Linked DNA regions of Oreochromis niloticus. The protein of the gene in region 3 purifies or fractionates together with the protein of the main gene of each other region. This does not show direct contact. Links are inferred from orthologs where the notes say so. Each region holds a gene or a part of one and is shown on either strand. Other genes may lie near its edges. The genes, in order: usp46, usp1 and phlpp1.

Region 1 (7,345 bases), on a different chromosome or scaffold from region 3:
TTTTCTACAACAATCTTAATAAACTGTTCCTAACCTTGATGTTTCAGAAGCCTGTGCCAGATGTCACAAGTCGGCAGTGAATCACAGCCTAAACTGGGAAGGATTATTTCCTCGTGATGCATAATTCATTTTGCCTCTCTTTGTAGCAGCTAAACAACAGGAAGGTCATCGGTGCTTTTAGCGGCGTAGCCAGCCTCTTTTACTGGAAACTTTTTTTTTTGAAACTCAAGATTAAAAAATTTTTTTGTGTGTTCCCTTGCCCAAACATTTAGCCCCACTTCTGGTCTCAAATGAGGCAAGCAGAGAAGGTTCTTTGAGGTTCATTTTTTACATGTTGTGAATGCAGACGTCCTGTCAGCTCCACCTAAACATGAAGAGGAAAACACTAGATGAGAGAGATTAAAACTCCAGATAAACGCAGACCGATTGACCCACCTTTTCGGTTCACCTGAGGCCTTCTGCCGATACATGAGCTGTCCTGCAAAGTTACAGAGATAGGAGATAAAACTGATTTGATCTCATCAGGGAATAGATCATCAGAGATGCAGAACAGGAGCTGGGTTTCATTGTAAATGCTTTTACAATGACCATATTTTTCTTGCTCTTATGGTTACTTACTGAGAACATAAAGAGCAGGAAAAATGACAATAAAAGCAGTATGAGTCATGGCATCTGCATCCACTGTGGTCTCTGTCCTATTAATACTGACTGGACCGAAATAGAAAGCAAGTCTGGGAATGTTTTGTGTCAAGAGCCAAGAGCTTCAACCACATGTAATTGTTTTCCCATCCATCAAACGTTTTTCACAGATAAACCATGAGAACACATCAGTCAGCAAGATTCTGAGTAAGTACATGGTGCATACAAAACATCTGATCAACAATGTAGCTCTCCCATCCTCCACAGCTCAAACTGTCCCCCCTGTTATTCTGTTGTTTGTTTTTCTGTTAACACTCTTATTCCTTTCTCCTTTTCCCGTCCCTTTTGAAGTATGTCTGTCATAATTATTCATTGTTTTCCTTTCTTTTTGTTCATATTGAAATGCTAAGGGGATAATTGCTGAGGGAATGTTTTGAAAGCACAAACAAAGCTGCTGGTAAATGAGAGTGTCCCGAGGGCCCAGGACTCCTGAGGTGTCCTTACCTCATAATGCCCTCTCTCTCTTCCTCATGGTCAGCTAATTGTCAGTTAGAGAACCGAATAACTGGAAATTAAATGATAATTTACAGAATGTCACCTTGCAAAAGAATGATGGCCAGTACACAACATACGTTTTCAAAGTGTAAAGGATTATCTCTGAGGCCTCTCAGTTTCAGAAAGGATTCCTCTGAAGTCTAAAGAAATCTCTTTTTGATATTATCAAGGGTTGAGGTCTACTTTTTAAACAGAAGGCCTGGATTGCAAACAGGCCATTTGAAATTTAAAAGAAGCAGAGGTTTAAAAAGCAAGCAGCGTTCCAGGAAAGATCCCAAGGGATGCATCATGAAAACAGGATATATTATGTTACCTTTTCCAAACTGATTTTGGATTGGTGAATTTGGTTAGCACTGGTGTCTCACAGTAAATGGATTCTTGTTCAAACTCAGGCAGGGTCCTTCTATGTGGAGTTTACATGTTCCATATGTGCTTGTTTGGGCTTTATTCAGGAGTGCTTTCTTCTTTTTTTTAAATAAAAAAAACCGAATAAATAGGTATTGCCAACTTGGAATATATCTATCTTGGCCCCAGAAGAATCCTACAAAGAGGTAATTAATCTCAGGAGTTTCACTTCCTGGACAAATAAAACAAACTCAATGTGAATGCCATATATTTATGAAATTTGAATATTAATTTTCTTGTATGCCTTGTTCGATTGTTTTTCGTTTGTTTTCAGGTTAAACACAATATCTGTTGGATAGAAATTCTTCAAATATGATCACATTCACCCAGGCTGTTTTTACTTGTTTTCAAGTTGTTAATGTTATGACATTTTGCACAGAATAAGAGATTCGTGTTGCTTCAGATGCATTTTTACTACTGGAAATATTTCATCTAATTTAAGCTGAATAGTTGAGCAGCACATGCAGGAGGTAGAATACATGACACCCATTCGCTTACTGTAAGTTTACAAGACAATGACCTGCTTTGTTCACACATGGGCTTAATTTGATATCACACAGTCTTTATGCTAGAGAGTTGGCAGGTTAAAATCCACTTACTGGCTGAACTAAGTGAGTCAGACATTTGGATTCCTATGTGTAACTCTGCCCGGGAATGTGTAGTGCATATGTGAAAACAGCTTTGCATGCAAGGACCTGTAACTCAAGAATTCCTAAATTTATGACAATGGCAAAATTTTCCAGAAATGTAAAACGGGATAAAATGATGAAGAAATTTGCAATTTTGACCAAGAGGTCAAAATTGTTGCATTGTAATATTATGCAAAAACACTTTTTCGCAGCCTTGAAATAAAGGAGACTGTGATCATATTTTATTTTGGATACTGAACTGGTGGCAATAATCTCTGCTGGCAGATCTCTATATAAGAGACAGGACAGACAAGGGTGTAAATTACAATACTGGAAAAATTGCGAAACAGTAATTCTAGTAACTGAACTCATACTTTTCTGCTCCATTTGAGTAGTCAAAGCACTTTTAGAAATGTGAAGCTAGAGACTCCAGTAACCATAGTTAACTGTATTCCAGGGCTAGAGCAGACAACACTGGAGAAAATTTGATACTGCTGTCTAAAAGTAAGCATATATTCAGTGAGATTGCAAATCACAATGACAGTAATGACACCCATTTGCGTCAATCGGAGGTCACTAAAATTTAATATTGAGTCTCGTGCCAGGAGTGACATGGTTAGCTGCATGTTCTCCTTAAAATGCTGGGTGTCCAAAACATGATGTGGACTTCAAGGTCAAATGGAACCAGGAAGCAGAGGATGCAGGATGAATACGTTAGCTTAAATGAGTCATACTGACTGTCAGAATCCTCAAAGCTAAGGCCGAGGAGGAGGAGTGGCTGCAATCTTTCACTCCCTGTTATTAATCAACCAAAGACCCAGAAAACTCAAAAAACAGCTTTATTTGTTATCTATCATTCACCTCATAGTTTCTAGCTGATTTCTCAGAAAATGACTTCAATAAATGTTTTGATTAAAAATTAAATTTTTAAGAAAAAAGATGTGCCATTAAGTACAGCAACTTTCAAAATTACTGATATTGGACTCTTTATTTAGACGCTTTCTGTCCAATTGATCATACTGAGTTAACTTAATGTCTTCCTCTAAACCATCACTGTGACTTTTAACTGATCATTTCCAAAGGAATAGTTTATTTGAAGCATTTTAATCAGGATTTAAAATACATCATAGCACAGAAACAGCACTAGTGAATATTGTAAATAACGATCTTCTTACGGCTTCTATATTACACAAATATGTAAAGACTCCCTTTAGTCATTTTCACAATATCTCTAATATTTAGAAACAGCCTATTTAGAAATTGACGCTGAAAAGTAAAGTCTTCTTTACTCATCTCTTTTTTACTGCCCGTGTGTTTATACACCAGTACTGTATGTAATCATTAGTAATTCATGAACTCTGGCTCCTTTCCACGGGACACAGCAGATGGCTGCTCCACCCTGACTCTGGTTCTGCTGGAGGTTTCTTCCTGTTAAAACTGACTTTTTCCTTCTCACCGTTGCTTGATCATAGATACATATCTGATTGTTTGGGTTTTCTCTCTAATATTATAATGTAAAATTGCATTGAAATGGAATCAAATTCAGTGTCTTTACCCATTCATAATTTTTTTTCTATGCTTAAGTACTTTTAACTAACTCACACACTGGTGGATGCATCTGGGACAACTCGGAGTTCAGTATCTTGCCCAAGGATACTTGGACATGCAGACCAGATGAGGCAGGAATCAAACCACTGACCTTTTGCGAACCACTCTAGCTTCTGAGCTACAGCGACTACTCTTAAAACATATGTATTGACAACTTCAAAAGGTATCATATAGCAAAAAAAAAAAAAGCTGCTGGTTTAAGAATGTGCTGTTTGCGTCGTTAGACCTGAAAACATGATTTTTGGCTCACACCACTTCTTTCTTCTTTATGGGGGAATTACTTGTCTGTGTTATAAAGCATAATATATGTTTTTATGTCACTAGAAAGCTTTTTGCATAAACCCTTCAGTCCTTTTAAATTTCACAAATCACAAAACGAACTACAAATCCCTGCTCTAAATCGCAGATGATTGGTTGCGGCTCACTTAAACTCTACCGTGCAGGTCTGTATGTGGCTCTTCAATCATGTCAATCAATTCGACTAAATCCGGACCAATCAGCTCCGGGGGTTTCCCCTGGTGGGCGGGACTGTAATGCTTCCTCACACAGCAGGCTCGTTTCCTAGACGTTGCTAACAACCTGCTGCCTGCAACTTTCGTCTGTCCCCTCGTGCACTGTCGTTTTCCAGCTGAGGGGTGTTCGATATGTGTGCGAGGATGCAGCCGTGTCCACACTGAGAGTCCCCCTCAGCTCCGTGCCGGCTGCATGGTGCTCCGTGCCTCTCTGCCTGCTTTCTGACGCTTGAGGTTGCAGTCTGGCCTCCAGCCTCGACTGCGAATTAACTTCATTGCTCAGCGTCGCCTTGCTCTATTTATTTTATAAAGATGGCGGTGAAGGGGACACTGTAAACTAAATGACTGTCAGAAACATCGCCTCCATTTGTAATATGGTGAGTAACTCGCTGCTTTTCCGTGTTGATATCGATCCGCTTGCAGGCACTGTGCTGAACCTGGTTGTGTGTGTGAGAGTGTGTGTGTGTGATGAGTCGCCTCCCACCTGCACCCAGAGAATGTGCACACTGCAGGGTTTTTTTTAAAAAAACGAGTATACACAGTAGTTTAAATCGTGGCCCCATACTTTAGTTGGTCTCAGTGCTGTCGCTCAGACAGGGCCCCTTTTGTGCACCTTTGCACGCTGCAGCTTGCCGGGAGCGTTTGCATTGTGTGTTGCATCCTGGCGAGACAACACAATGTACAGTTTGTATAGTTGTCACCGGTGATTGACAAGAGGGATGGGGGGAGCGTGCTGCCTTTGACAGCTTGGTGTGATTGCATAATGTGGTGCTGCAGCAAAGGACCGGTTACATCCTGGTAGCACAGAGCAGGAATCCACACTAATCTGTGCTCCTGGTGTTCAGGGGCAGTGAAGAGTGGGTAAGAACAGACTTAAACGGCTCTGCCTAATGCCAGTGGCCTTTGCTTTATTTAGACTAGATGCTAATGTGAAAAGCCTGCAGTGTCAGTCTCATCTTAGAGCTGCTGGAGTTCTTAGATTGCACAGACTGATATATTAATCCATATCTCATCAGGATGTGTGGTGTTTTTCTTTTGTTTCTAGATATATATATATATATTCAGAATCTCCTTTAATTTTACAACAATGTTTTGTCCTGTCCTTTTTTCTGGAAATAATTAATGGCAAGGGAGTCAAACAGAAGGAAAAAAAACAAAATATATAGACAAACAGAAGAAGACGGCTGTAGTGATCGATGTAGCGGTCCCGAATGACAGCAACATCAGGAAGAAGGAACACGAGAAGCTGGAGAAATACCAAGGGCTCAGAGAAGAGCTCGAGAGGATGTGGAGGGTGAAGGTAACGGTGGTCCCCGTGGTAATCGGAGCACTAGGTGCGGTGACTCCCAAGCTAGGCGAGTGGCTCCAGCAGATCCCGGGAACAACATCGGAGATCTCTGTCCAGAAGAGCGCAGTCCTGGGAACAGCTAAGATACTGCGCAGGACCCTCAAGCTCCCAGGCCTCTGGTAGAGGACCCGAGCTTGAAGGATAAACCGCCGCAGGGGCGCGCTGGGTGTTTTTTTTTTTTTTTTTTTATATATATATATATATATATATATATATACACACACATAGTTCAGTATTATGTATAGAGCACCAAAGACACCTCAAGGCACTTTATATTGTAAGGCTAAGACAGTATGAGCACTTGGTGACAATGGGAAGGAAAAACTCCCCTTTAACAGGAAAAAAAGCTAGCAGGACCAGGCTCATGGAAGGACAGCCATCTGCTACAACTTGTTGAGGGGTGTGGGGAGGAAGACAAGACAAAAGACACACTGTGAAAGAGAGAGCGGAGATTAATAATAAGTCATGGGTAAATGAATAGTGCTGTATAAATACACTGAGTGAAAAGAGGTGAGTGAAGAAGAAACACTCATGGGAAGCCTCCAGCAGGCTAGGTATATTCCAGTGAAACCAACTGCAATATATATATAGTATATATAGTAAAATATATATATATTACTACACTAGTAAAAGCCTCGCAACAAGTGTTCCACCAGACATAAAGCGGGAACAAGCAGTTCACAGGAAGCCATCATCATGTGATTTTTTTAAAAAACATTTTTTATCCTGATCGAAATATCAGATCGGCGCATTCCCACTCAGTATGTCCCTAACCCTATTTATTAAATAGTCTTAACTAAGTAATCTAATCGAGATGTTACAAGTTAAGGACGCACTGATGGATATGGGCAGATAAAATGCTACAGTGTTTTGCACCAGTCATTATATTATCATTATTATTATTATCCATGGATTTTTCTTAACACTGACTAACCTAAATTGCATGAGAAAACTCGTGCAGGAGCAAGGAGAACATGCAGACTGCACACATGCAGGGCAACAAGTTCAATTAGGAACCTTCTTGCTGTGAGGCAACAGTGCACCTTCAGTGTTGGATGAATAATTGTTATTTCAAGCTGTCTCTCTTAATCAAATAAACATGTAGAAAGGAGCATAATATCTCTCCTTTAAGAATTTATTCCTTTCTAAATTAACAATACCACTGCCCACTTCCTGTTATCAGAAGGAGCTCAAATTTCAAAATGTGGCTTCAGATGTCAGTAAAGGTTGGATGGATAATTCATGTGTGGACTCTCCTTGGTAATTCGTCTCTCCTGGGACCTGCATGTTTCCCAAAACATTGGAGACTGGAAGTGGTAAGCCGGACAGACGGGTATCCATTGTCTGCTTTGACAGATGAGAAATGACAGTCATTAGAAGTCAAAGCCTTCCCCAACCTAAATTGTCTGCTGTGTTCACTCAACAAAGCTGTGATTCATTTGAAAAAGCTTTGAGCTCTGACAAGTGAAAAGCCTCTGACAAGAGATAAGTGCTCTGTCTCAGCAATTGGGTGCAGCAAGAGTCCCGACTTTTGATACGGGTCTACCTATTTAGACTATATCCGTTTTCTACGTTGACATGACTTGTTGTTCTGACCAAAGGAAGCAAGATGTGTGGAAGTGTGTGCTTTCTGCAGAAAATTGAGATCT
Region 2 (7,697 bases), on a different chromosome or scaffold from region 3:
TATAACTATCATTAGCTTACAGCTTTAAGTGTTTAAAGTATGTGCTAACTAAACATAAAGACAAGATGATATTTTATTAAATTTTAATGAAATCTGCAGATTGTTTAGGTGAAGTTTAATAAACTCAGCAGTCTGCTCCTTGCTATCTAAAATATAACAGTATATTCTCGAGCATCTCACACTTCTGATAATCAGTTGTCTGTTTGACGTTTATTCAGCTGTGTAAAAACTATAACTTTAATCTCAGCCAAACCAATTTACTCAGGAACAAATAAAATACTAAAAAAAGCCAAACAATATCATTTTTAAGTTATCTAAGTGACTTATATATCACGTTTAACCTGAGTAGCGAAAGACAGCGGTGGGTTTGAAAACGATTTGCCGGGAGTCCGGTGTTCTCAACGGCTCTAGTGAGCCTTGAACCCCGGCTAGCTATCGAGCTGGTGGGTAACAGACGTCTCCGAAAACGTCGGAGCACTTTTGAGAACATGTGGTGTCTTGATAAACTGAGCAGATATTTGAGGTTTACACAGCTACATTCTCGCCTGAAAATAGGTTAAACGTTTATTTTGTGACCCAGAAAGAATAATAAGAGTAATATTAAAACTAACTAGCTGCCGCCATCATTGGAAACTGAGCAGGGCCGCGCTATGAATTCTGGGACACAGCTTCTTCTTCTTTGGGGTTTAACGGCAGCAGGCATCCTTGTACATGCAGTGCTGCCATCTTCTGTTTCAGTCCGTTATTACACTCTTAAATCCTACTACTTACTCCTGCGTCTTTTGGGATCTTACAAAGCTTCAAACGACGCGTCGACTATTAAATTAGTCGTCGACGATTTTGATAGTTGACGTAATCGTGACTAGTCGACTAATCGTGGCAGCCCTAGTTTCCAGAGATATTTACCTACAGAGATGGGTTTTTAACCAACAGAAATGTGCTGACTGGTTGACAAGTGGGCCAGAACAGGGAAAGAAGTTCAAAAAAAAAAAAAAATGTATGAGAAGTACAGTCAGAGGTTGCAGTGGATACTGTACATTGTTTACAACACTCAGTAGTAGCCTACAGACCGGTCGAACCACTTTTTTTTTTTTTTTTTAGCACTGCCTCCATTTGACTACAGAGGCTCTCTGCAGGTAGAACAGTCCAAAGCTCCCCACAGACTGCCATCACACTACAACCGCTGAACCACAATTTCCCCATCAGAAAATTGAACATTCCCAACATCACAAGAACATCCACTTCTGAGTGGGATAACACAGGTGAACAGGTTTGAGGATTCAATGCAACTTAAATCGCACAAGAACAAACCACACACACTGTTAAGTTTCTGTGCAGTTTTCAACTTTTCCTTCAGTATATTTAAGCCCATCCTACCATTTGTACTAAAACACTGGAACAAGTGACAAAACATCTATTAACGCTGGAAATTAACTCCATCTGTGGTAATGGCTCACCTGTAAGATGCTGTTCAAATAGCAGGTATTGCCCAGATTATTGAGTCCCACGAACGGCACCAAGTTCTCTCTCTTCTCGCAGGACAGGAGGAGGCTGGGTGAGGAAGGACACTGAGAAGGCCCAGGGACCACCTGATCGCAGCTGCTGATCGGTTAAGAAGAAAGCAAACAGAAAGTCAGCAGCTAATAAATTGAATTTCACAAATGACAGCCACCATCGCGGGCACACACTGTTTTTAAAATGATTACACTGAGATTAATGTTGAAGTCTAACACCAGCTTGATTGAGATGAAGCCTATTAAAATCTAAGGTGTCACTCATCTACACGTGCATTATCCTGCCCTCACAACAACAGTGGAATTCCCGTAATTATCTAAATGTAACTGTGGGAAAACGAGTGCTTCGGGCTGCCCAAAACACATCAGTCTGGAAAACTATTTGTGTTTGACGCACACTGGTAGCAGAGACCTACCTTGCCTCAGGCTCCTCTGGCTCACATGTTTTGGGTTCTTCTGTCTGAGGTTCAGAGAAATCCAGAGCCCGCTTGGTTTCCTTCTTCTGGAAGAACTTCAGAGAGAGTTTGCTCTTCTTCACTGGGCTCCCCGGAGCCGCTACTACCACACTTTCACCCTGCAGACCTGGCATCTTTCCTCTCAGTACCTTGAGGGCGATTTTTCTTTTAAATTCCTACTGAGACGCAACAGCGAACCTCACTGGTGAAAAATGGAAACACACAATGTAATTTCAGCGGGCGCCATCAGAGTTCAACGAGAACGAACGTAGCTGCGCACTTAAGTTCATGGTCCACTATTGTGCAGCTACACACGGACAGGTTCAGTCTAATCAAGCACACACTTCTCAATAATACAGTCGAACCGGTTATTGACCGAACCACGCATTATATAACATGTTAGCTGGCTAACGCTAACTTAAAGGTGGTACTTTGTTTCAGTCCCTCCCACAAACAACCGCTATAGAACGGCTTACGTTAGCAGCTGTTTTCGTTTTAAATGACAGGGTAGCGACAAATAACTCGGCGTTTTTTGAGCACGTTGCGCACATCACAGCGACAAACTGGCTCGAGAAGGTGCGGTGAAGAAGTGGGAGGAGAAAACAGAAAGCACGCCGTTTCAAACTGTTCACGGCCAAAAAGGACTTCTTTGAAATCCCAGCAGAGTCGAGAACCAAAACTCACCCGAATGCTTCATTCCAGTTTAAGCTTGATATTTTCCATTAAATATCCCGTCTCGAAATGCTTTAAGGACTGTTTAACAATTCAGACGGTGCAACAGAAGTTGGCGCTTTTTCCTGCTTGAAGATTCGTTGGCCGCTACATCGCCGGCAGCGCTCGGATATCGCGTCAAATCATCCGGCCAAAATGTTTAAAAAAAACGGTCACTACTAAGCTTGAAAATATTTCAGGTGTTGCCGAACATTTGGAAATGCGCGCAGAACTCTGGAATATTCTATACCTGAAAAGATTTACATGCCAGATTTCAGGCTAATGTTAAGACAACTATTTCGGCTAGACCCAACCGGCCAGCTCCCAGCGCCATTCTTGTAGTCCTTTCTCCAGCTCCTTCTAATTAAAAGTCGAGCTAAACTTGAACAGTCATTTCTCATGTCTCACTTTTTTTCCCTTTTGAAGGACTAAGATTTTAAATACAGGACATAAAAAAAAAATTGCTTTCATTAAATGAATGTAAAAAAAAAAAAAAAAAAAAAAAGGTATACAACTCATCAAGGCTTCCATGGAAGCCAAGGGCCACAGAGGCTTTCAAATTTCAAGTTGAGACAAGCTGAAGCTGGTCTGTTGTATAAGAGGTATAATTTGGGAGACTGTGCTCTATATTTCTTGAATCCTCTTCACATTTTATATATCTGATCCAACACCAAATTGCGATTTACAGAAAAATGGTTAACATAGAATCAGATGTTTGTATAGAAAGCATAATATTATTAAGTACAAACCAATGAGCAGTGTTGGGGAGTAACGGAATACATGTACCGCCGTTACGTATTCAGAATACAAAATATGAGTAACTGTATTCCGTTACAGTTACCGTTTAAAAAGGTGGTATTCAGAATACAGTTACTTTGGTGAAATAAATGGAATACACGGCGGTACTTCCCTGTTTCATATTGTCGCGGGTCAGGATTGTTTGGGTTTGTTTGACAGCTACGTTCTGTTGTTCCAGGCGGCAGCGTTACGGTTGCCATGGTTACAGGGTGACGCTCTCTCTCTGCGTGTTTCCTGGGTGAGACAGCGCCTTTGTGTTGTTGTTGTTGTGCTAAGCTAATAGGCAGACTGCTACAGGCATAGCTCTAAAGAATGTAGCATCATGGGCAGTGTAGTCCGTGCTGCAGGGAGAATGGACTACCATACCCGTTATGTGTCTGTGAGCGAGGGAGGGAGAGAAAGGAAAAGTCCGAGCTGTCACGGAGCAAAAACGGGAGCTGGAAGCATGTAAATATAATAATAACCACAGCAGCCAAGAAGAGAGCCTGAGGAGCCCATTTGTAAGTAAGCTATTAAGACTCAACTGTACACTGTGTTCGTGTTTTCCTCCGGGAAAAATAAGTTCCGTTGGAGCAGCCTTTCAACGCCTCTCTCTGTCTCCCGCAAGCAAAGTTGACCCAGACAACAAAGTAAAGCTAGTTTTCGGCTACCAGCCCGACACGAACCCGACGTATTAGCCCGAGGTCCCTTTACTACGTTTCGGACCTTCAGTAACAGTAATAAATCACAGCAATAGTACATTCACGTAGTTGTAAACAGCATGATAATATATTAAGTATTCCAAAGTATTCAGAATACGTTACTGTCATTGAGTAACGTAACGGAATACGTTACAGAATACATTTTGGGGCATGTATTCAGTATTCTGTAGTGGAATACATTTTAAAAGTAACCTTCCCAACACTGCCAATGAGTATGAACAAAACTGGGTCCAACAGCAAAAAAAATAAAAAAAATAAATCATTACCTGAAAAAAAACCCCACGAGACTATAATAGTATAGTTATATAATAGTAAATTATGAATTATGCTCAGTCATCCAGGTAAGAAAATCCCACAAAGTTGAATCTGTTCATCTAGAGGTACATTTCAGTGGGAAAAACGTTTCATCTCTCATCAAAGTGACTTTTTCAGCTGACTGCAGCTTTCCCCAGCATTATAAGCAGTTCATTTGCATGATGACTGAAAACACCCACAAATGACTAACAATGGGCCATTGATCAATGATCACAGTGACTGCAATAACAACACTTTAAGATGGTGAATGATGTATTCTTAGGCTAATACAGGGCAGGGAAGCTGAAGGATTCCTGGTTATCCCAGACCATTCTGAACATGGAGGCAAGAAGGTCATTTACATGAAAAGGGAATGACCATCTTTGAAGCAAGGACAGGGCCTTACTTCACCATTTTACAGCGCTGTTTGTGGCTATTCTCCAATTCTCTTTGAATGGTACTCATGGCCACTGATGAATGGTCTTGACAGTTTGCATATTAACGATCATAAAAATAAACTTTGGCCCTGTCAGCTGTTGTGCTGTGCTCTCATTAATGATATCAAGTCATTGTGAGCCAGAACCAAAATCCTGTCACAAGGTAGATGCTGCAATAAAAAAGGTAAAAAGTGTCTGACATTAAAAAATGCCCTTTTCCAAGAGAGAACTGGACAAGCAGAAATTGCAGCAAGTTTAACATCCCAGTCCTATAAAGATATTCTAAGTGGTCAAAAAGGACTGGATTGATTATAATGTAATTACAATAATGGAGTCAAAGATACTTGCAGACAGGTATTTTTTTTTTCAATCTTATACAGTGACTACAGTCTATTAACCAATATAAGAAAAGCTATTACGCATAAAAAAAAAATGTAGAATTGAACTAGATCTGACCTTTTTTGACAGTTGATCACTTTTTGGCACAACAGGGGAAATCTGCAGTCCTCCAAGTTAGGAAGTCACTGCCACCAGATAACCGGGGTTGATTTTCTGGGATTAAGTAAGTTAGTTTAGTTTGAGTGGGGATGAGATTTTTGCACGTACCATTTAAAGTCGTAGATAACAAACCAAGCAAATGTCCTACTAAAATCCTGAGCAAGAACATGGCAACCACCGACTTTCATTAGCCAGTTCTTTTATTTTGAAAAAAGTAAACGGAAGTTTATAGTTTGCAGCTGTTAAAATGAAACTATATATTTTTTGTGGAACCAAAGTATATTTGTGGACTTTTGTTTAATAACGAAGCTTGTCCCACATCAGCTGTTCATAATTGTATTTAAGGAAGCCATTTACATGTATACATAATACATAAAAAGGGAGAGAAACCAAAACGCTTATTGTACAGGCACTGCCCGCTTTGCACCAACAGGGGACGACATTATCCAGCCGAACGGAGATCGATCTGTCCAGTAGTATCATTCCCTCCTTCACCGGAGCATCTCATCGTTTGACAGTCTCCGAGGCTATCCCTCCGCGACTGTGACGGTAAGACACTGTTTACGTTTCCCCTGCTTCCAGCGTTAATTGATAAACCTAAATCTGCTCGAATAGCCGGGCCGCGAGTGCGTCTAGTTTAATCTTCTTTACAGCTTATTTGTATCAGTTGCACTGTTTTGCTTTAACAGTATTACAGAGTGCTTTGGCTGGCGTGTTTTTTTTGTTTTTGTTTGTTTGTTTGCTTTTTTTTTTTACGATATAGAGAGGATCGCATCACCTGAAAGCGGCACAGACATGGGGAGACGGCAGGTGTTTCGTTTCATCCATGCACGTAGTCAGTGCAGGCATTTGTCAGTACGACAGTATGAAGGCTGGACGATCCGCTGCTGCTGTTGCTACAGCTGCTGCTGCTGCTGCTGCAGAGTGGTTGCTTGGTCAGCAGCAACGTACCGATGGACACTGAGCTGCTGTGCCTCAGCTTCCAGAAAACCTCAGTGGCTTTCAGGCTGATGGTGGTAGGATGTTGCAGTAAGGATGCTGATGCAGTAGTGGATGGGAGTACTTTAGGGGTGCTAAGACTTCCTGTGGGACTGTAGATGATGATGCCATCGCCATCCTTCAGTCTGATGGCTCAGAATACTCTTCAGTCTCCAGCTCTGAGGTAGCTTTAACAGCAAACCTCTTAATTAACTTACTAGAGCCTACCAGAGTCCCACACTTCACTTAAAGTGGGTTCAGTTTATCCTAAATCACTCTTGTTGTGTGACTTCATTACAGATCAAACAAGCAGCTAGTGATCTCTTTAGATTACAGAAGGCGGGCCGGGGAGGGGATGTGTTGGATATGCTTTCTCTCTCACTCACCATTTAAATCCTAACCAGGAGACTCACATTCAGGAGGATTACTGTGTTTCGCTTCTCTCATCACCTCCTTATAACAGAATTTTATAAAGAGGGCATAGCCAGGTCACCCACGTATCAAGCTGCTGTATGCTGAAGGGTCAAATGTAAGCAGGGCTTTATTTTCCGGTATTTTGGACGCTGAATACGATAACTGGAGAGATCTGTGCTATGAAACGTTGGTGGCAATACTCTCTCTCACCGGAGAGACTTTCCATTTTTAGAAGGCATACAAAAAAAAAAAATGACTCGAGGAACAGTGATGAAGAAAAAAAGCTTCTCTTGTACCTGAATGTAACACATTCAGATACTGTTTATGGACCAGTTTTACAAGAACTTGAGTAATGAGGTGCTTGAATTATGCAAGTGGCCTTCATCAAGGTTGGCCTTGTCCCACGAGGCCCAAAGCTCTAGTGGCTGGAGCGGTAGAGGTGGGTGGTGTGGCGGGCTTAAAGCCCAAGAGACAAAACAGCCCCCCTCCTCCAGCCTCCAGCCTGGTTCTCTCTCAAGAACTGAGCGCTGGTAGGAAAATGAAAGCATGCTGAACGACAGGCAGTGGTGAACTCCAAGAATGAGAAGCATGTCCAAGTCTGCTACACTTGTGTGCACATATGTACTCAGAAATGCAATGAAAAACAGAGACTTTTCTTTCAGCTTAGAGCAGCTGGGACAAAGGAAAACTGGAGCGTGATCCAAAAAAGCAAAAACACAAGCATAAGTGAACAGTTTACGCTTCTCACTTTTCACATGTTTTGCATCCTGTCTGAGAGGGGTTTATAAGGATAGGGAGAAGAGAATGGATGGATATGTTTATCTGCTGCACTATGACTATAACTGTAACATCAACACTTTATTCCATTCCTTTCTCACACAGAAAGTAGTTTGGTGT
Region 3 (8,079 bases):
GCAAGCACACGGATAACCTGAACATAGCAACCCATCACTGGGAAACAGGCTTAGTCTATCAGACCTTTAATAATGACCCTCTAAACTGTTGTCGCAGTTATCAGGTTTTGTGCTGCACTCATACTGCACAAGCTCATCCTGTGAAAATATTATCCTACCTCTGCAAAACGGATATGGTGTCATACCATACAAATGTCTGAATCCACCAGATTCATTCTTTCACAGGTTAACAACCTGTTCCAAGCACTACAACATTACGGATCTCTACTCCAAACAACACAGGCTTCATATAAAGGCCTCAGTAAGTATCAGCATGAGCAAAACACACATGGATCGCGATGGTATGATATTATAATGATATTAGTCATATTATACATGTATACACAGACACGTAGTTTCATTTACCTGCATAAAAACGTAACAAGGAGCCAATTTCTGTGTTAAGCCCCTCCTCTTGAACTCTCCACGGGTTCTTAAATCCAAGCTTAAAGAGAAAGTCATTCTGGATCTGCAGAGGCCTCTCATCTGGGCTAAGCCTCCTAACAGCTTCACCATGCAGCTGAACATACAGTGTGGGGCTGGAATTATAAGAATCTCCATTCTGGTGTGCTGTGAGCCCTGTTTTTACGGCCCCCTGGCTACAGTCCGGATCTTGGATGTCAGGTGTGTTACCTGTAGAACCAGCTCTTGACAATGAGCCGGAACTACTGCTGGGTGGGAGGCTGCCCAGACTGTGTGGGCTGAGTCTGCTATCTGGCCCCACGTCGCTTAAATGTCCCACGTTGCACTGCTTGTAGTTGGCAGTGACAGCAGTGATGCCATTAGTATGATGCTGGGAGATGGGGTCCATGCTTGAGCTCGATGCTGGGCAGTCGAGTTCCAGTTCGTCTGAGGAGCTCCCGTACATGTCATGGCCCTCTGTGGCACTATCAAAGGAGGGACTGAGGATGGATGCTTCAGTTCCCAGGATCATGTCATCACTCAGGGAGTCCCTGTGTTCACTGAGCCGGGCCCCGGAGCTCAGGTCGTCAAATGCACTGCTTTCTACATCTGAGCCAGAGTTTAATCCATAACTGTCCACACCGTTCCTGTGCTCCGAATCATCGTCATTGGGGGTATCCATGTTAGAGTTAGAATTCAAGTCTGACAGCGAACAGGTTATGTTGTCTTCTGACTCCGGGGTGAAAAGTTTTCCATCAACGTCCTGTTGCTTTTGCCTGACATCTGCGTTCTCCATGAGGAGCAGTCTCAACCTGTCATTTGGACGGGTCCTTAAATCTGTGGTTTCCAGTGGGGTCAGGTGGCTGCATTTTATACTCGAGTCTTCTTTTACCTTGCCCTGATTATCATTATATTCATAATTCACGTTACAGTTCCCATTTTGGTCCGTCTTGGAGGCGTCTTTACAAAAAATACGCATTACAGAGCTCGACTTGCTGGAGAGTTTACTCAGTCGGAGGGCCACCTCGCCGGCTGTGGTGTCCATAGTGCAAAGCACCGGCCTGGGATACGAGGGCGTCAGTCTGTCGTGGACATGTATGGCGCCCCGGTGGAGATCTGCTCTCACCCACTCGCGATCTGCGGACTGCAGCTGCATGTTCTGTCGGTGCTTCATCAGAGTCTTCCTATCCAGACTTCGAGTATGTAAAGACGCAGAGGACAGGGCCGAGTTCATCTTCGCGCCGCAAGCGGCTGTGACAGCTGAGGTGGTAGTGGTGGCTGCAGCTGCGGCTGAGAGGTTCCTCTTCAAGCGCCTCCGTCTCAACAAGAGCGAGCTGGAGTTGCTGGATGAGCTCCGGTCATTAGACGCCACGGCTCGGTTTGACGCACTAGTCCCCGCTGTAGAGGCGGAATGAGAAAGGCTATTCCCGTTCTTTGCCTCAGCGCGGGAGGGTGCCAAACGTCCACCGCCATCATCCGCTGGAGTCCCCGGGCGACAGACAGTCCGCTGGGCTTCTTCATTAACTTGGTCGCGCCTCCATCTGACGCGCCATCCTCAGCGACAGCCTGTACACTTTCCATCCCTGCCAATGAAAAGTCCCCCGCTCTAAATAAATAACGGTGCGCACTTGGTTATGCCTAAAAGCTCTACATTTAAAAGCCCGAATACGTGCCCGCCGCGCTAAATGTCCGCCAACTGGGCGGTGTTGCCGAGTTATTCCACTAGTAGTCATTCACTCCTCGCCTTCCTTTCCCTGTCGGAGTCTCCTCCGCTGCTCCCCAAAAACATCTTACTGATTAAATTCGCTGGGAAAGAGGCTGGACGAGCAGGGACAGATCAGGGCGGAGACGTGACTGTGCGTCCCATTTGGACCAAAACACAGCGCTAGAATATGAAATGAACGTCGGCCGACCTCCTACGCAAATACCGACTAATATATATTCATGAGGAGGACACAAGATGGGGGTCGCTAACAACAACGCGGTGCATTGTGGGAAGAGTATTGCGCTAGCTAGCGTCTTGTAGTCGCCGCTGGCGGGACGAAACTGTTAAAAAAATACATTTCCCAGCAAGCCTTTCTGCACTTTCAGTCAAGTGAGGCGGTGAACAGTTGAGAGGCGTAAACATAGCGCCTATAAAATGTTTGGTGTTGCGTTACAGATGCCCGTCCTGTGTTTACTGTGGCGAACTCACCTTTTGCTACTTGTACGCTAACAGCGAGTAAAACTGTAAGACGCAGTCACACAGTGAGTTATCGATGTCAACTGTTGAATATGTGAGGAAACTTTCAACTGTTATCGAGGATTCCTTACACATTAGCTAGCTTACACGGCGGTTATTTATTTTAAAAATAAAAGAGAAAGTTTTTGTTATGCTACAGGGTTAAGTTAAGCCTCGCTGTAGGTCTAAATGTTTTAGACAAGTGGTGACGAAGCAAATAACTTCGGCACCATCTCATCAGGACGCCATTTCACAAGGCCATACAGTCCGGCACAGTGTACGTCGACTTATTCTGTTGTATTTTCCGCCATCTAGTGGAGCGTTGAGGCCACAGCGAGCCTTACTGTACCAGACAGACTTGTTCGCATTCTGCCGCATATATTACAGCAGTATAAACCCACACAATGTAATTTGGTTTAAAAAAAAGTACGTTTTACCTGTGTGGAATTAAAAATCCTGCAAAAAAAGACCAAAAATATTATGTCATTAACGTCTACTGCTTAGGAGGAGTGGTTATTCATTTGAATATCCATACATATTCAAATGAAAAACGTTATTTTTGTATATCGGAAGTCTCAATGCGTAAAGGATTATAGTTTATTTAAACTGTCAACTTTGTTAGGATCAGCTAATCACATGGCAGTAATTCAGTGCATTCAGGCATGTTGACATGGTCAAGATGACCTGCTGAAGTTGAAACAGAGCGTCAGGATGGGGAAGAAAGGTGATTTAAGCAGCTTTGAAAAAGGCATGGTTGTTGGTGCTAGATGGGCTGATCTGAGTCTTTCAGAGACTGTTTATCTAAACTGTGTCTGTCTCTATGTGTTTGCCTTGTAACAGATTGGCGACTTGTCCAGGATGTAACCTGCCTCTCTTTGCATGATAGCTGGGATAGGGACCGGCCCCCTATGACCCTGAATTTCTGTAAGGAGAAGAAGATGGATGGATTATCTACTAAGATGTTCCCTCATAATCATCTCCAGGGTTTGTTGATGCCAGAGAAGAATACCAAGGCTGGTCTGAACTAACAGGAAGGCAGGAGTAACTCAAACACTTGTTGCAACCAACATATTCAGAAAAGCATCTCTGAATGTGCACATGTAGAACAGGGGTCCCCAATCCCAGTCCACGAGGGCCGGTGTCCCTGCAGGTTTTAGATGTGTTCTTGATCCATCACAGCTGATTTAAATGGATAAATTACCTTCTCAACATGTCTTGAAGTTCTCCAGAGGCCTGGTAATGAACTAATCATGTGATTCAGGTGTGTTGACCCAGGGTGAGATCTAAAACCCGCAGGGACACCGGCCCTCACGGACTGTGATTGGGGAACCCTGCCCTATATACATGTGCCTCAAAGTATCATAAGGAATTACCTAATGGTCCAAACCTGATTTGTAATATTCTAAACTGAGGTACATTTTACACCTGAATTGAGACTGTAAATTACAGTCTTCATGGGAAAGTTTACTGGACCATAAGAAGAAGGCTCTGAAATGTAAATACTGTTAGTAAACATTTCTATCAATAAAACATAAGCACAATTTTTACTGTATATACTCTATAAGTTAGTAACAGCCCAAGAAGAGTGTGTTTTAGTGATCTTAGACTGTAATTACTACAAGGATAAAAGAACAAGCCTAAAATATGTACAAAAATAATGCATACAAAGTAAATGCATTCAGAAATGGAGTTTAATTGGCATGATGTATCCTTTACATAGTATTCTGTAGATTAAAAATGGGGGGAAAAAAGAGGACTGCATTCAGTTTTTGTTCAGTTGCTCCACAGACATGTAAAAGGAATCAGATTATTGCTGACATCATGTTCCTTGATTCCAGCAAAATGGAAAAACCTCATGCTCAGCCCGTTGGCTCAGGTTGTTACTAAAGAGCTGAAAATGAGAACTGGAGTTTATTTTTAATATAAATTCCTCCCTATTCCTACTATGCTTGTACTGAACCTCTGGACTTAAAAAAATGAAAGAACATGTTGAGATGGCTGAATTATACAGAAGCTGCTCCCAACACGAAATACCACATATATTAAAGTGTCTGCAATTAGATGACCCATTGAAATTTTGATATTTAAAAAAAAAAAAGAAGAAGAAGAAGAAGGGGGGTTGACAAGAAAAATACTTGTGTATTGATTCTGATCTGAAATTCAGCAAACCCCTATCCATTCACATTCAAACCATGCAGTGCAAAACTTTTTTTTTTTGTCGTCAATTCCCTGATTTCATTAGGTCATCTATCACCGCGAAAACCCTGTTAATTTGCAGACAGATGTATTGTAAAAGGCGAGCGGCAGCCGTTCAACTCCACTGTTTCTTCATCTGACAATTTCATATTGCAACTTTAAAAGCAATACAGTAGAAAATAATGAAAATATTCTGTGCACATAAAGCTCGTGAGCACTGGACTACTGGTGAAGGGTCGGTGATCAGGTAACAAAGACCACTGAAGTGAAGAGACACACTGGTTACACCTCAGAAATCCAACAATATTTTACACATTTGGACTTTACCTTGAAACAACGGCCACTTTAAAGCCACACTCTTAACAGTGCAAACTATATTTAGGAATAAAAATATTTAAAAATCCTGACTCAGTGAATACACTAAAATCAGTGCTCAAATCTTTTGAAATAGAGAATGCGTCCTTTTTTGTTGAGAGTTCCATCAAATCTTGTCCGAATGTGTCGGTAAAGCTGTCAAAGAGGCAGATTTTCAGGTGGCTCAGTCAAGAAAATTGCTGAAAAAAGTCCCCCAGAATAAAGCCTTTTTTTTCCTTTTTTTTAAAAGTAAGGTATAAAAGAAAACTTTAAACCCTGAAGTGTAGGCATAGTATGTACGCACAGTAAAAAACAATGGTGTGTGTGTGTGTGTGTTTGTGTGTGTGTGTGGGGGGGTACACCTGCAGTTTAACCTTTTCTCTATAAACGCTGGGTATTGCTTCGTCAAAAGCTTGGGTGACACAAGTATAAAAGTAAAGTGTATAATACAATGCACGTTATGAGCAAAGATCATTTCACACACTTCTGCAAAAGAAAAAAGACAATGTGGTGAGTCATCTCTTGATATAAATCACACACATCAAAGCACTGACATGTAAAGACGTAAATTGTTTATGAGCCGAGCGCCTCTATAAAAAACAAAAAAAACCAGTTAACACTGTCAAAATAATACAAAACAGGTCATTCTTGCACACACTGGAAACCAGAAAATATCTGCCAGCTGCCAATTTTGACAGTAAATTTATAAGACCGACATGAATAAAATGTAGTTAAACGAGATTCTTCTTTAAATTTGACCTTCTTCAGTATAAACAAAATATACATTTAAAGAGAGAGAGAGTACAGGCGTTAGGCCCAACTCTTAAATTCACAGTTAGCAATTAAATGTCAGCATTTTCGGTACAGTGAGAAGTGCATGAAAGAAGTCAGGACTACATAGTAATGACATAGAGGAAACTCCAGGGGGTGCTATAGTCTAAGAAAAGCAGAAGGAAAAAAAACCGTATTGCACATGATTTTTAATGTTGGACGCCTCCTTCCCTCCCGCCCTTCCTCCTGTTTCTCTAAGCTGTTTCCAAAGTCCCAGCAGGTGTAGTAATGATGGAGCTTCTGCTGACATAATGAGCTCAGAACAATCAACCCTGCATCCTGGCACAAAAGCTGTCCGTAAGGGCTAAAGGAGTCTGGTGTGACAGCATAATAAAGAAGAGGAATAAAAACATCTCCACTGAGACAAGTCTACTGGTGTTATTGACATACCAAGGTACAGTTGCCCTCAGTAGATGACACAAGCGTGCCAATCAAACGAAAAAACTGGTCTGCTATCCAATCGCCACAGAACTGAGTGCCTGCCTGAGAGCTCAGCAGAGAGGTTTAGAGATAGTCGAGCAAATTCCACACGGGGCGGGGGCAATGTGAATCGGCTGGAGTCTTTGTGTGCTACTACATGGATGGAGTAGTGGGTGTCTGCGTCTTGTGGCGTAGTACCGACTCAGTTGTGTGGGACTTGAAAAGGCATTTCAGAAGACATGGCCTTATTGTAGAAACGGGCACCATTTTGCTGTCCAGCACTTAAGGTTCTCAGTGGAGGAGAGCGCCGGTTGGGCACTGCTCGAGACAGTGGTGGTCTACTATGGTCTGTGAAACCTAGAAAGATATTTTTTTTTAAAAAGAGAGAGAGGTTTTGAAGTTTCAAGAAGAAGTCGGCACGTGCGTGCCAATATTTTTGGCTGCATTTGAAGTGATAGCAATCATGCAAGCTGGTAGTTTGTACCTGGTTAAATGGCGACTTGATTCGTGCACTTCCATCTCGTTGCTCTTGAAATCGTTGAGTTCCTTCCTTATAGCTGCCTGCAGAGGACAAAGAGGAAGAAGACTGAGCGAAGCTGCAAAGGCTTAGCTCACAAACGGCAGCCTTTAAGCCCTGACTCCTTTTAGTATGCTTCATGCATTATTTATGCTCATCTCAAAGCCATGAATGAGTCTTCTGAATTCTTTTCTCACATCACAGGAAACTTCAATTTCCCCCTCTTGAGACTTCTAACAGCCCTAACATAATTTACAATCTGTTAATGATCTACTTGGATAGATTCCTCTTTAAATAACATAAAGTTTTGATAGCATTGATTTATATAGGACACATAAAGAGAATGCCGTTAAATGGAATTTTTAGATTTGACCATGACAGATCTATTTTTAGAACATTAAAGCTATATCTACTTTTTTATATTCTTTGGATCCAAAGCTCCAAATAAAGCAGATTTCAGAGTGGGAAAAAAAGCCTGCAGTGATCTGAATGCGTCAGCAGGGGACACTGTGGTGTAATTTCACCAATTAGGCCTCACCAAAGCAAGCTTTTGAGTCCAAACCAGTGGGTAGTGAATCATGGCTTCTGTATATAAAAATGGTACGATACAATCTTTTTTAATGACCTTACGTCCCCTCTACAATGTCACAGCATGTAACAGAACCCCAGTCAGGTGACTGCTTCTCCTGCCTCAGGGAGGATGCGTCCACGGCAGGAGAACAAACAAAATTCTGTGTTGGACGGCAGAAGTAGCAAACGAAAAAACAACAAAATAAAACATCAGCACAGCAGTGTTGGGGGGCTTCTTGAGGCACTGCTTGTCCAATTACACTCTTATGTAAGTGGAGACGTTGCATAACCAAACTGCTGAATCCTTATGATTTCTCACATTTTCACATGAGTGGACCTCAGGTGTGACCCGTAGTGTTTAGGACGATGCAGAATATCTGCTCAGCAAACTCTAGAGCTCATTAAAAGTCTTAGATCACTGGACAGTGACCAGCAGGACTGCTTCAGGGTGTTTCACAAAGGCAAACCAAACAACAGAGTTGGACTTTTCATTATGAAAGAGGAGGAACACACCCTTCTGCTAATATGA

What was found.
Region 1: the proteins of phlpp1 (region 3) and usp46 purify together in Homo sapiens (affinity purification with mass spectrometry; 7 studies listed by BioGRID and IntAct, counting the BioPlex papers as one, with this or other methods). This does not show direct contact. The link is inferred for Oreochromis niloticus from reciprocal best matches to the Homo sapiens genes PHLPP1 and USP46.
Region 2: the proteins of phlpp1 (region 3) and usp1 purify together in Homo sapiens (affinity purification with mass spectrometry; 6 studies listed by BioGRID and IntAct, counting the BioPlex papers as one, with this or other methods). This does not show direct contact. The link is inferred for Oreochromis niloticus from reciprocal best matches to the Homo sapiens genes PHLPP1 and USP1.

The regions. Positions count from the first base shown.
Region 1 is NC_031986.2:37,319,405-37,326,749, reverse strand, and holds the start of usp46 (ubiquitin carboxyl-terminal hydrolase 46), read left to right. Parts: upstream 1-4,308; 5' UTR 4,309-4,689; coding exon 4,690-4,725; intron 4,726-7,345. UniProt on the Homo sapiens protein: Deubiquitinating enzyme that plays a role in behavior, possibly by regulating GABA action. May act by mediating the deubiquitination of GAD1/GAD67.
Region 2 is NC_031981.2:33,420,638-33,428,334, reverse strand, and holds the start of usp1 (ubiquitin carboxyl-terminal hydrolase 1), read right to left. Parts: upstream 3,023-7,697; 5' UTR 2,654-3,022; intron 2,626-2,653; exon of another isoform or gene 2,446-2,625; intron 2,172-2,445; 5' UTR 2,104-2,171; coding exon 1,931-2,103; intron 1,603-1,930; coding exon 1,458-1,602; intron 1-1,457. UniProt on the Homo sapiens protein: Negative regulator of DNA damage repair which specifically deubiquitinates monoubiquitinated FANCD2. Also involved in PCNA-mediated translesion synthesis (TLS) by deubiquitinating monoubiquitinated PCNA.
Region 3 is NC_031982.2:17,682,466-17,690,544, reverse strand, and holds the start of phlpp1 (PH domain leucine-rich repeat protein phosphatase 1), read right to left. Parts: upstream 3,031-8,079; coding exon 3,012-3,030; intron 1,996-3,011; coding exon 406-1,995; intron 1-405. UniProt on the Homo sapiens protein: Protein phosphatase involved in regulation of Akt and PKC signaling.